Linked DNA regions of Arabidopsis thaliana. The protein of the gene in region 1 interacts with the protein of each later gene in a pairwise test. Each region holds a gene or a part of one and is shown on either strand. Other genes may lie near its edges.

Region 1 (4,740 bases):
ATGGAATATGAATCCCATAACTCTTGTTTAACATTATCATCATGAAAAACTCAACTTTATGGTATCCACATCATCATCATTATCAATGTCATTGTCGTCATCATCATGTGGGGATCACTATACCAAGAGTCTTTTTGTTAAGTTTTTTTTTTCTTTATTGTTGTTATTATTTTTCAATGTGTTATTTAGAGTAGATAAGTATCATAGTGATGATGATGACTTGTCAGCCCCATGCATGGGTCCCGTTTTATGTTCTTCTGTTGTTTTTGGTTTCTCTTTGAAGGTTTTTTTATGATCTTAAATTAGAGCCTAGAGAGGGGCATCTCCTTTAGAACCTTTAATTGGAGTTGAGTTCTTTACCATGTTTTGGTGAAAGATTTTGTCGTTTGCTATCGACAATGTTATATATAAATTAGATATCTTTCTTTCTTTGTTAATATTAGCTATGTCCATCTTTGGCTAATTATGTATTTGGCAAATCTGCTACTAAATATCATTAATTTAGCCGATTTCATGCAAAAATAAATAAGCCCTAAAATGCTGAGTTTCCAATTCTGAAGACATTTTCAACCATATCAATCGATCAATGTCATATATTCACATATCGAAGGTGTACATATAAAGGATTGAATCCATGATTTTCCTTTGAACTCTTTTATGAATAGTTTTGAATGTTTTTTTGTTTGATTATAGTTATAAGATATTTAATAGCGGTGAGTGAACGAGACCAAAAAAAAGGTGATTAAATGTAATAAACTTTAAAACTATGGGATATCGAGAAGAAAATAATGTAACGAGAAAACATCACATTAGACTTCAATAATGCTTTTAAATATAGAAAAAGGATTGATAGTAGAAGCAAAGATTTTTATATTGGTATGATTAGTAGTAAAACAACACGGTAAAAAAAAAACAGTAGGCGAACCAAATAGTTAGATTTTGATTGGTAATCTCGTATGGTTGCAGTATTTTACCGTTCTAAACTTCTAATTATTACTAGTGACGAAAACGTTGAAAAACGAGATTTTTAAAAAAAAGTTGTAACTATTTTTTTTAACAAAAAAAAGTTGTAACTATTTTGGTATTGTTTATTGTTTTTTTTATATACCTAAAACCTCTAACCTTGTTTTTTACCAGTCTTACTTTTGACATAAATAAAAATAGTGGTTAGAAATAGTTTTCAGTTCTGCTGCTTTCTTACCCTTTTTATGTCTTTATGATTGGTAATTTGGTATCAATCGGAACAAACTAAAATTGTTAATTGTAGTCCTTAGTCCTAATAGTTCGGTTATCCATTCGGTTTCAGTTTGTATCTATTCGGTTTCAACTTTTTCGGTTCTAAAGTTTAGTATTCATTTGGTTATTTTGAAAGTTTGATTCGTATCGGTTTTTTCAGTTTTAAAATTTAATATCCATTCTATTATTTTGCTTTGAATATTTTTGGATATTTCGGTTATTTTGGATATTTTCGATCATTTTTGAATATTTTCGGTTATTTTTTCGAGTATTTTTACTATTTTATATATCTTTTCAATTATTTTTAATTATGTAGTCTAAAAATAAATAATATTTAGTATCCATTTAGTTTTGGTTCTTTCGGTTCTTTCATTTATAGAATTTAGTATCCATTCGAATATTTTCCAATTTTTGGTTTGCTTTGATTTAATTAGTTTTGCTTTGATTTTGATTCGGTATATTCGAGTTGGTTTATTTGTCCACGCCTAGTAGTCCTGATCATGTAAATGACAGAAAAGCCCAAACGAGATCCAAACCTATAAAGGCCCAATAAATAGTTCACAAACTCATGACCACTACAATCCAACGACGTCGTATCATCTCGCTGACGTAAGATAAGCATCGTAACTAATTAAAATCCAAGTAATAAGTTTGGGTGCCGTGCAGGTAACAATCACTAAACCCTAAATCCATCCTCTCTGTTTCCTTTATATATATTCTCTCCTTTTTTCATTTTTTTGATCCTCTTCTTCTTCTACAATCAAAATTCATTTTTTTTTCCTCTGATCATCATCGAACCCTAGTTTCGTCTTTTGGGTACGTTTGATTTCGCCTCTCCACTTTGTCAATTTCGAGTTTTTGTGGTTTGGGTTTTTTTCCCGATTTAGCCTAACAGATAAAGTTTCGAGTTTTGTTTCTCTTAATCATCGTAGATACTAACCGAATCATCATGGAGAAGAACTCCTTCAAGCTTTCTAATCCTCTGGGTTAGTTTCCTTGTTTCTTCTTTTTTACTTTTTGCAATTTCTGTAGGGTTTTTGCTTGATTGATGTCACTCGATAAGCGTTTAAAGGATAGTTGTTTACTTCTTTGGTTTTCTTCGATCTTTTGGGCTTTGGATTGTGTTACGATTATGATCTTTGTTAAAGGAACTCAAGTTTTGATTAGCCTGATCACGAGTTTGTTGGTTCTGATTCTCGATCTCTGATATTGGTTACTCTGTTTGTATTCTCCATTGATTTACATTAACACGATTAAGTTATTAGACCTAGTTTGTTGTTGAATCTATAAAGATTTAGTACTTGTGCCTCTGGAATTTTCCTGGAAGTTACTTGAATTACATGTCACTAAGATGTGTTCATGTGTTTGTATAATCCGTTAGTTGTGACTGATTTTTTATGGTTTTGTTTTGGTTTCAGAGATGAGAATGGCTGAGTCTACTCGTATCAGAGCGAAATACCCTGAAAGAGTTCCCGTATGTTTTCTAAACTCTCACTTTACGGAACAAGATTTACAGTGTCACCCTAAGTTTCTAATTAGAGAACTCAATACAGGTGATTGTGGAAAAAGCTGGACAGAGTGATGTTCCTGACATTGACAAGAAGAAGTGAGTAATTTGTTTTACATATTATCTCTATCTCTCTTGTTGGATCATAATGGTATCAAATCACAAATTAGCTTTCAATCTCCTTTGAGTCTAATGGAAATGTGATATGATCCGGTAATCCTTTTAATCACTAGCTGATGAAATTTTGAGTCTAACTATAGTTCTCATTCTTCAAAACTTGTCCCTTGGTACAGTTTAGCAGTTTCTAGATACAGAGATTGAATTGCATAGCATTATTTTTTGCTGGTTTTGATGTTTTTTGCTGACACCTGTTTCTTCTCTTTAGGTATCTTGTACCAGCTGATCTAACCATTGGCCAATTTGTGTACGTTGTGAGGAAAAGAATCAAGCTTGGAGCTGAAAAAGCCATCTTTGTCTTTGTCAAGAACACATTACCACCAACTGGTAAAGGATTTTAACACTTTTTAAACCTTGTGTGAATCTTCTACTTCTATGGTTCATGTATAAATATGGTTTCTCTCTTTTCTGGTTCTTACAAACAGCGGCATTGATGTCTGCAATCTACGAAGAACACAAAGACGAAGACGGGTTTCTCTACATGACATACAGTGGAGAGAACACATTTGGTGGATCTTTCTACTGCTAATTACCTCAGCTTCTACGTCTGATCCTCTTGATGATTGTACATTCTCGTCGACCTTAATAATGTCATTTTACTTTCTTGGTTTAACCTTTTGAGCTCTCTTACTATCTCTTGCATTTGAAGATGGTATTTGAAACAAGATTCTAATTTGACTCTCTAGTTTCTTTGTTTTGTTTCCTCTGCATCTTCTCTATTGCCATTGAATAAAATAACCTCTATAGTAATATCATCATCAACGTTGATAAGTTCGTCTGATCAATTTACTAATTAGCTAAATTGTCTAAACCGAAGAAAAATCCTAAAATTGAATTAACCGAAAAAAACCAAACCAAACCAAGCACAAACCAAAAATTGAATTGGAAAATTCGAGACTTATATTATTCTCTTGGTTCTACGGACATGGACCGAGTATAGCTTCTGATCTTGCGACTGTTGCTGTCTCCGCCGCGAATCGTTCTCCTACCTTCGTCAACTACACCGGCAAGGTACGAAGCTTTTGTTATACTCTAATTAGATTTGTGGTATCTTCGTGAACCTTCAATTCAATTTAGGGTTTCTCAATTCGATTACAAAGATTCGTACTTGATTTGTTTTCGAATTGCTGGACGAGTTTGTCTTATTGGGAAATGATTTTAGTAAATCGTTGAAGAGAAATCAGGAAAGTTGAATACTTTCTCTCTTAAAGTTTTGAGCTTTTTGGATTGTAAAATTGGACTAATGGAGAATTCAATTCTGTGTTAGAGTTGTTATCATGAAGAAAGGTTTGATGCGATGGGATGATGATGATGATGATGATGATGAAGACTCTTCTGAGGAATCATCATCGTCTTCTGCTTCTGATTCAAATGTGGATAATACAGAGATTGGGGAGAAGAAGAAGAAGAGAAAGAGCAAGAAGCCAATAGGTAGGAGAAAAGCTTCATTGTTTTAACTTTGTGAGAGCTCTTTTATGTAACTTTGTTTTTTTTTTTACGGTTGCAGCGAGGTTTGCGAAGAAAGATAAGAAAGCTTTTGACTATGAATCTCTGCAGCAGCATGGTTACAAAGCTGTTGGTCTTTCTGATATTCCTGCTCCCATGGAGAAACAGGATTGGTCATGGACTACGGGAAAGGATAAACAAAGAGTAGAGGAAGTGAAAGAAAGTTATCAAGAACGAGAAGCTACAAGAGCTGCTGCGGTTACTGGTGGCGAGACGATTGCGAATGCGCAGTTGCGGAATGATAGGAAGAATCTCTCTTTTTCACAGAAGGAGAAGAAGAAGAGAGATTTGGGACAAGCAAGTAGAGGCAAGAA
Region 2 (6,368 bases), on another chromosome or scaffold:
GTTACGTTCTACAAGCGTGGTGCAAAAAAAAAAGTCCTACAAGCGTACCATTGAAGGAGGAATCCATGCTTCTCATATCAAGTATCAATAATCTTGATGTGCCTAAGCATAATAAAGGAAGATCTTTTTCTCAGTCTAATAAGCTGAGTCCTCAGTCTAATATTTCTGAGGACTTGGTTTAAACTGAGTCAATGTAAGAGAGCTGGTTGTCTTGTTCCATAATCTGACCACAAATAATGATCCTTCGGGAGCATATAATGTCGCTGCAACAGGGACAAGGCAGAGTAGAGTTGGTTCACATTCCAAAGATGTAAGGAATATGAAACGAGTAATAAAAGTCAAGATATAGTTGGTCTACATAAACTATACCACGTATTCGTTTATGTAAAAAAGGAAGGAAATTAGTTTAAACCTGATAGGTTTCTTCTTTCTCTCCGAGCAGCAGCAGGCAACAGTAGAGGCTTTAATAGCTCTGTATCAGCATCTCTGTGTCGCCATAATATTGACTATGATGGCATTTTTGCACAGGAGAGGGCAATTTGGACAACTTTAAAAGTCTATCCCCTTATTATGCCTACGCATCAGCACTCATTGAACAGCTAGCCTTGATGAGTGTATCGGACACATCCCTATCAAGCGTGAATCCTTTATCCATCATCTGATCCCAAACCTTGTAGGCTGCTGATAATTTTTTTCCCCGTATGAGTCCTCCGATAATGAACTTGAAAGTTAATTCATCAGGACAACATTCTTTACCTTTCATGTCCTCAAACAATTTTATAGCTTCAGTTACTCTACCAGACCTGCAGAGGCCACTAATAAGGGAGTTGTATGAAATCGCATCCGGTGTAATTTCGTGCTCTATCATGTCATTAAAAACACCATAAGCCTTGTCCACATTTCCGGATTTACACAAATGGTCCAGGATTGTCGTGTAGAAAATGCGATCTGGTGACAGACCTAACTCTGTCATCTGATCAAGAAGCTTCTTTGCAACGCTAGAGTTACCTTCCCTAAGAAAAGCCTTGATAAGACTCGTGTATGTGACCACATTCATTACCATCCCTTTCTGTCTCATCTCCTCAAAGAGCCTGTAAGCCTTCCTCGTGTTTGACGCCCTACAGAATGTTTCGATCAGAGTACTGTACGAAACGACATCACAAAAACCTCTAGGCTCCATCTCCTTTACCATGAAGTTATAGCACTTATCAGGATGACTAACCCTGCAATGCCGCTTAAGCAACTGGTTATAACTATAAGCATCAAGCTGTATCCCGCTTCTTACCATCTCAGCCATCACCCCTTCCGCTCTCTTCAACATATTGTTATCATAATAATAATTCAACAACACATTGTACGTAACAAGATCCGGCTCACACCCAATCTTACTCATATATGATTTTAAAGCTTCTGCCTTTTCTATTCTACCCGCTTTACAAAACCCACTAATCAACGCATTATACACCACTGTACTAAGCTTAACTCGTGCACTTTTGATCTCCTCCGCCACCATCTCATAAGCCAAATCAACTTTCCGAGCATGACATAACCCAACAACAAGTGCTGCACATGCTTTATTATCCGGACTAACCCCGCTACGAATCATTGCATTCCAAATCTCAACAGCATCAGTAACCTTACCAGCTCTAAATAACCCATTAATAAGTATAGTATAAGATACAACATCAGGTTCCCTACCTCTCTGAACCATACAAAAGAACGTCTGAACAGCAAAACCTACCTTATTCTCTCGACACAACAGATCCAAATAGACATTGAACGCCCAGATATCTGGTATGAATCCAAGGGTTTCCATATCACTCAGTAGAGCGTCAATGAGATCAAATTTTTTAACTTTACATAAACCCGAGATAAACCTTGAGTAAGTGAAGGGGATGAGAGAAAAACCCATGGGCTTCATATCCCAATATATTGCCTCAGCAAGCTCAAATCTAGACTCTCTAACCAAAACCCCGATGAAACGATTATAATCGAAGGAGAAAACTCGGTAGCTTGAGTGACGCATTTCATCGAACACCTGAACAGCGTTGTCAATCATACCTGATTTAACGAGGTTAGCTATACGCGAGCGGTATGCAAGGCGTACTGCGCCCAGCGTCTGATGCATATCAGAGCTCGACGCATATGATCATATCACCGTTGCCTCTTCTTTGTTTCAATGCGGCGACATCAGATCGACGACGACGGCTGGTCTTGAGCTTAAGCTAGAGGGAAAAAAAAAAAAAAAGAAGACGAAGGCTCCAACATTAATTAATCTGAGGCTTTCTTGATATGGGCTTAAATGGGCTTTAAATAAGGCCCAATCATATTTTACTAAAACCTCTCTGTGAACGAGAGTGTTAGGTTTGGCTTTCAGTTTCTCCCCTTCTCCTTCTTCTCCGTCTTTGGAGCTCAACAGGGGTTTAAGGATTTTCTCCGAAAGCTCAAAACTTGAGTGAAATTTCTCTCATTTTACTTATCTGAAGTTCGTCTACGATGGAGGAAGAGAAGGTGAGGGTTCGTCTGGTGTTTGAAGACCGACGGATTCTGAGTAAGTATCAAAAGAAGCAAGGTTTAACACGGAGCTGGGTTGTTCTAAATCGTAAATGTCACCGAACTATATCAGAGTTTTCTGATCATATCTTTCACACATTTAGCCTCTGTGAAGCGTGTCCTCATGGCCTCTCTCTATCTGTACGTTATACTTCTTTGTGCCCTAATTTCAGAGAAATCAAATTTGTCAATGTTGACGCCATTAATGCTTACATTATCTTTCGGGCTTTTCAGATGGAAGGTTTCGTTTTGCCACCTTTCGAGTCCAGCTGTGTATTGAAGGATAAAGATATCGTTTGGTTAGTTTCGTCAATCTCTTAAAGCTTTTTCCTTTGAGCTTTACTAAGTATCATTAGTGTTAAATTTTGCGCTTTTTGTGTAGTGTTAAGAAGAAGAAAGAGTCTTTGTTGGAGATTGTTGGGGAAGACAGTGATGAGAATGTTTACAACGCTATTGAGGTTGAGGAAAGGCCTCAGATTCGTCCTGGTGAAATGCTGCTTGCTAATGAGGAATTCCAGAAGGAAACTGGAGGATATGAAAGTGAGTCTGAGGAAGATGAGCTTGAAGAGGAAGCAGAAGAGTTTGTGCCAGAGAAGAAGGCTTCGAAGAAACGTAAAACTTCAAGCAAAAACCAGAGCACCAAGTAGGATCTCTACGAAAACTTATTCTTAGTCACCTAAATGTCTATTTGTTGTTATTCAAGTTTGAAGATAATGTAGGAGGAAGAAGTGTAAGTTAGATACTACTGAAGAATCTCCCGACGAAAGAGAAAACACAGCTGTTGTTAGCAATGTTGTGAAGAAGAAGAAGAAGAAGAAATCATTGGATGTACAAAGTGCTAACAATGATGAACAGAATAACGATAGTACCAAACCCATGACCAAATCAAAGAGGTACGTAGACTTTTGCTTTGTCAAAACTCGCTTGTGAATCTTTAATCCTCTTGAATTATCTCTAACTAGTCATTTTTTCCATTTTCTTGCTTTTGTGATTGCAGGTCATCACAACAAGAAGAGAGCAAAGAGCATAACGATCTGTGCCAACTATCTGCTGAAACTAAAAAGGTTTGAGTTTACTTAGTTGTTGCAAGGAATTAGAATGAACAATATGTGTAGAGTGTAAAATTCCTTGATGTTTGTAGATGCAGGGATTGGCTTTTGTTTCACTTACTCATTTAGCTTCCTATCAGTCCTTCACTCTTCCTTATTTTTATTTTAGACACCTAGCAGAAGTGCCCGACGTAAAAAGGCGAAACGGCAATGGCTGAGAGAGAAAACAAAACTAGAGAAGGAAGAGGTTCTTCATCAAATACTTTAAACTTAAAATGATAAGATTTATGTATGCATCACGTGTTTTAGTGATGTACAGCCTGCGCTTCAACACTTATATCTTCTTTATTGTTACATGATTTGCAGCTTCTACAGACGCAGTTGGTTGTAGCACCCAGCCAAAAACCAGTCATCACTATAGATCACCAAGCAACCAAGGAAAAGCACTGTGAAACTCTTGAAAATCAACAGGCAGAAGAAGTTAGTGATGGTTTCGGGGATGAAGTTGTACCTGTGGAAGTGAGGCCAGGCCACATACGCTTCAAGCCTCTCGGTAAATTATTATGTAAATTTCTCTCTGTATAGCTTTTGTGCGTTTGCAAGGCTCCTCACAGTTTCCCTTATATGCTTATTTTTCAGCTGGAACAGATGAAGCCTCTCTTGATAGTGAACCTCTTGTGGTATGACTTGACCCTATGTTTGTATCCTTAAAGCTTTGCCTAAGCTGAATCTGTAATGATTATGTCTAAATAATATTAGGAAAATGTCTTGTGGAATGGAAACATGACGAAGAAGAAGGGACAGAAATGGGGCACAGAGAAGTCAGGGTTTTCCAAACGATATGCTCAGGATTTTAATGAAGATGCTACGACACAGCCCGCTGAAGCAGAGACACTTGCTAATTGTCCGATTGATTATGAACAGCTTGTGGCTTACACTGGCTCAGTAAAGGTTTGTTTATAGTCTTTACTACCCCCAGCAGGTTGTTTATAGATTCAGCATTTTTAAACTCCTTAACTCCTGGTTTGTTAACTTTACAGAAAGGAGATGTTATTGCATACCGCCTCATTGAGTTAACATCATCTTGGACACCCGAGGTTTCCTCTTTTCGGGTAAAATTTCTGGCTCTCCTTTTAAGCCAAATTCGATCAATCAACGCTTATTCTGAGGAACTTATCCACTTTACAATATACTTCTTTTGATAGGTTGGGAAGATAAGCTACTATGATCCAGACTCCAAGATGGTGACTTTGATGCCTGTTCAAGAATTTCCAATCGAGAAAAAGACAGAAGAGGACGACGATTTCTGTATGCAACCTGATACATCTCTTTATAAAGAAGATGGATCCCTGGAGGTATGCTTCATGGTTTACATTATGTCATACATATCTTATGAACAAGAACATTCTTGTAGTTGTTTGCTTGCTAAGCATCAGAATTCTAATATAAGAAAGACTTTGCTTCTGCAGATAGAATTTTCTGCTCTGCTCGATGTTCGCAGTGTCAAAACTAGCAGCTCAGATTCTGCAGAAGTCGCCAAGTCAGCACTGCCCGAGCCTGACCAGTCAGCTAAAAAGCCAAAGCTAAGCGCAAACAAAGAATTGCAAACCCCTGCAAAAGGTAAATTTTCCATCAATCTTGGATCGACATTGTATTGAAATAGATGGAGTCTTATCTACTTTCATTGGAATATTGCAGAAAATGGAGAAGTGAGCCCTTGGGAAGAACTAAGTGAAGCTTTAAGTGCAAAGAAAGCAGCGTTGTCTCAGGCCAACAATGGGTGGAACAAGAAAGGGAGTTCAAGTGGAGGCTCATGGTCTTACAAGGCACTGCGAGGCAGTGCTATGGGTCCTGTAATGAACTATCTCAGATCTCAGAAAGAGATTTGAGAAACTAGGTCACATCTCTCTAGAAGAAACTCTGCTGCTTTTGTCTTCATTTTGGATATGAAAAACTCAGACAAAGGGTAGAGAAAGCCATTTTGTTTTTGATGCTGTAAACGCACAGTTTAGCTTTCTAAGGTTAAAGGTTTATGTATAGAGAAAAACGATGAATGTGTAATACTCTCTCAAGATCTTTTTGAATTTCACGTTTGAATCCATTCAAAAATCTGAAAAATGAATGTGTTATATATCATATCCATTTATGTCTTCATTTTCTATAATCACCCGATTTAAAGAAATGGATGCAATGTATATGTTTTGAAGTTGGTGGGAAAAACAAAGATAAATAATTTGATAAGAATTGGCTAAAAACAAAGACTCATGACCGTTCGTTTCCTGTACAAGTCAACCGTCACTTGCTAACACGTCGCGTGAACCACAACGGCACAACGTTCAAGCCATTAACTTCCTCGTAAAACTGATTTCTACGTGTACCACACGCTCCAATACGTCGCGTATTGCTATCTCTCTTTCTCCGTCCATTGCTCCTCCGTTCCGAAACCTACAAACAAACCAGCTTCACAAGGAAATAAATCGATTTTTACATATAAAAAATTTCATCTTTAGGCGACGACGAGAGAATCTTTAGATTCGATTTCTCACTCGGAGCTACTTTGAATTGGAATCTTTAGATTCGTCACTCTCAATTTCTGTCCTGCGTTTTTCAGATCTGGGGGAATCTCCGAATTTGGAATTGGAAAATTCACAGATGTCGAAACCTTGGGGTGGAATCGGCGCATGGGCTGATGAGGCTGAGCGTGCCGATGAAGAGCAAGCTGCTGAAGCTACAGCCACGGCGGCAGATTCACAGAGTTTCCCGAGT

What was found. Proteins that work in one complex are often made in the same cells at the same time.
Region 2: the proteins of ATG8B (region 1) and AT1G13030 interact in a two-hybrid assay, tested with the Arabidopsis thaliana proteins (one large-scale study listed by BioGRID).

What each region holds. Positions count from the first base shown.
Region 1 is NC_003075.7:2,327,372-2,332,111, reverse strand, and holds ATG8B (Ubiquitin-like superfamily protein), read left to right. Parts: upstream 1-1,521; 5' UTR 1,522-2,052; exon of another isoform or gene 2,053-2,168; 5' UTR 2,169-2,185; coding exon 2,186-2,222; intron 2,223-2,654; coding exon 2,655-2,710; intron 2,711-2,789; coding exon 2,790-2,842; intron 2,843-3,128; coding exon 3,129-3,247; intron 3,248-3,345; coding exon 3,346-3,449; 3' UTR 3,450-3,670; downstream 3,671-4,740. Other genes in the region: AT4G04614 (uncharacterized protein), read left to right, coding at 4,198-4,351, 4,428-4,740. UniProt on the Arabidopsis thaliana protein: Ubiquitin-like modifier involved in autophagosomes formation. May mediate the delivery of the autophagosomes to the vacuole via the microtubule cytoskeleton.
Region 2 is NC_003070.9:4,443,407-4,449,774, reverse strand, and holds AT1G13030 (sphere organelles protein-like protein), read left to right. Parts: upstream 1-2,362; 5' UTR 2,363-2,496; coding exon 2,497-2,694; intron 2,695-2,787; coding exon 2,788-2,852; intron 2,853-2,935; coding exon 2,936-3,196; intron 3,197-3,272; coding exon 3,273-3,446; intron 3,447-3,550; coding exon 3,551-3,617; intron 3,618-3,771; coding exon 3,772-3,849; intron 3,850-3,968; coding exon 3,969-4,155; intron 4,156-4,241; coding exon 4,242-4,282; intron 4,283-4,361; coding exon 4,362-4,553; intron 4,554-4,642; coding exon 4,643-4,714; intron 4,715-4,807; coding exon 4,808-4,957; intron 4,958-5,071; coding exon 5,072-5,222; intron 5,223-5,300; coding exon 5,301-5,491; 3' UTR 5,492-5,732; downstream 5,733-6,368. Other genes in the region: AT1G13040 (Pentatricopeptide repeat (PPR-like) superfamily protein), read right to left, coding at 575-2,128; EIF4B2 (eukaryotic initiation factor 4B2), read left to right, coding at 6,255-6,368. UniProt on the Arabidopsis thaliana protein: Probable component of nuclear coiled bodies, also known as Cajal bodies or CBs, which are involved in the modification and assembly of nucleoplasmic snRNPs. Required for CBs formation.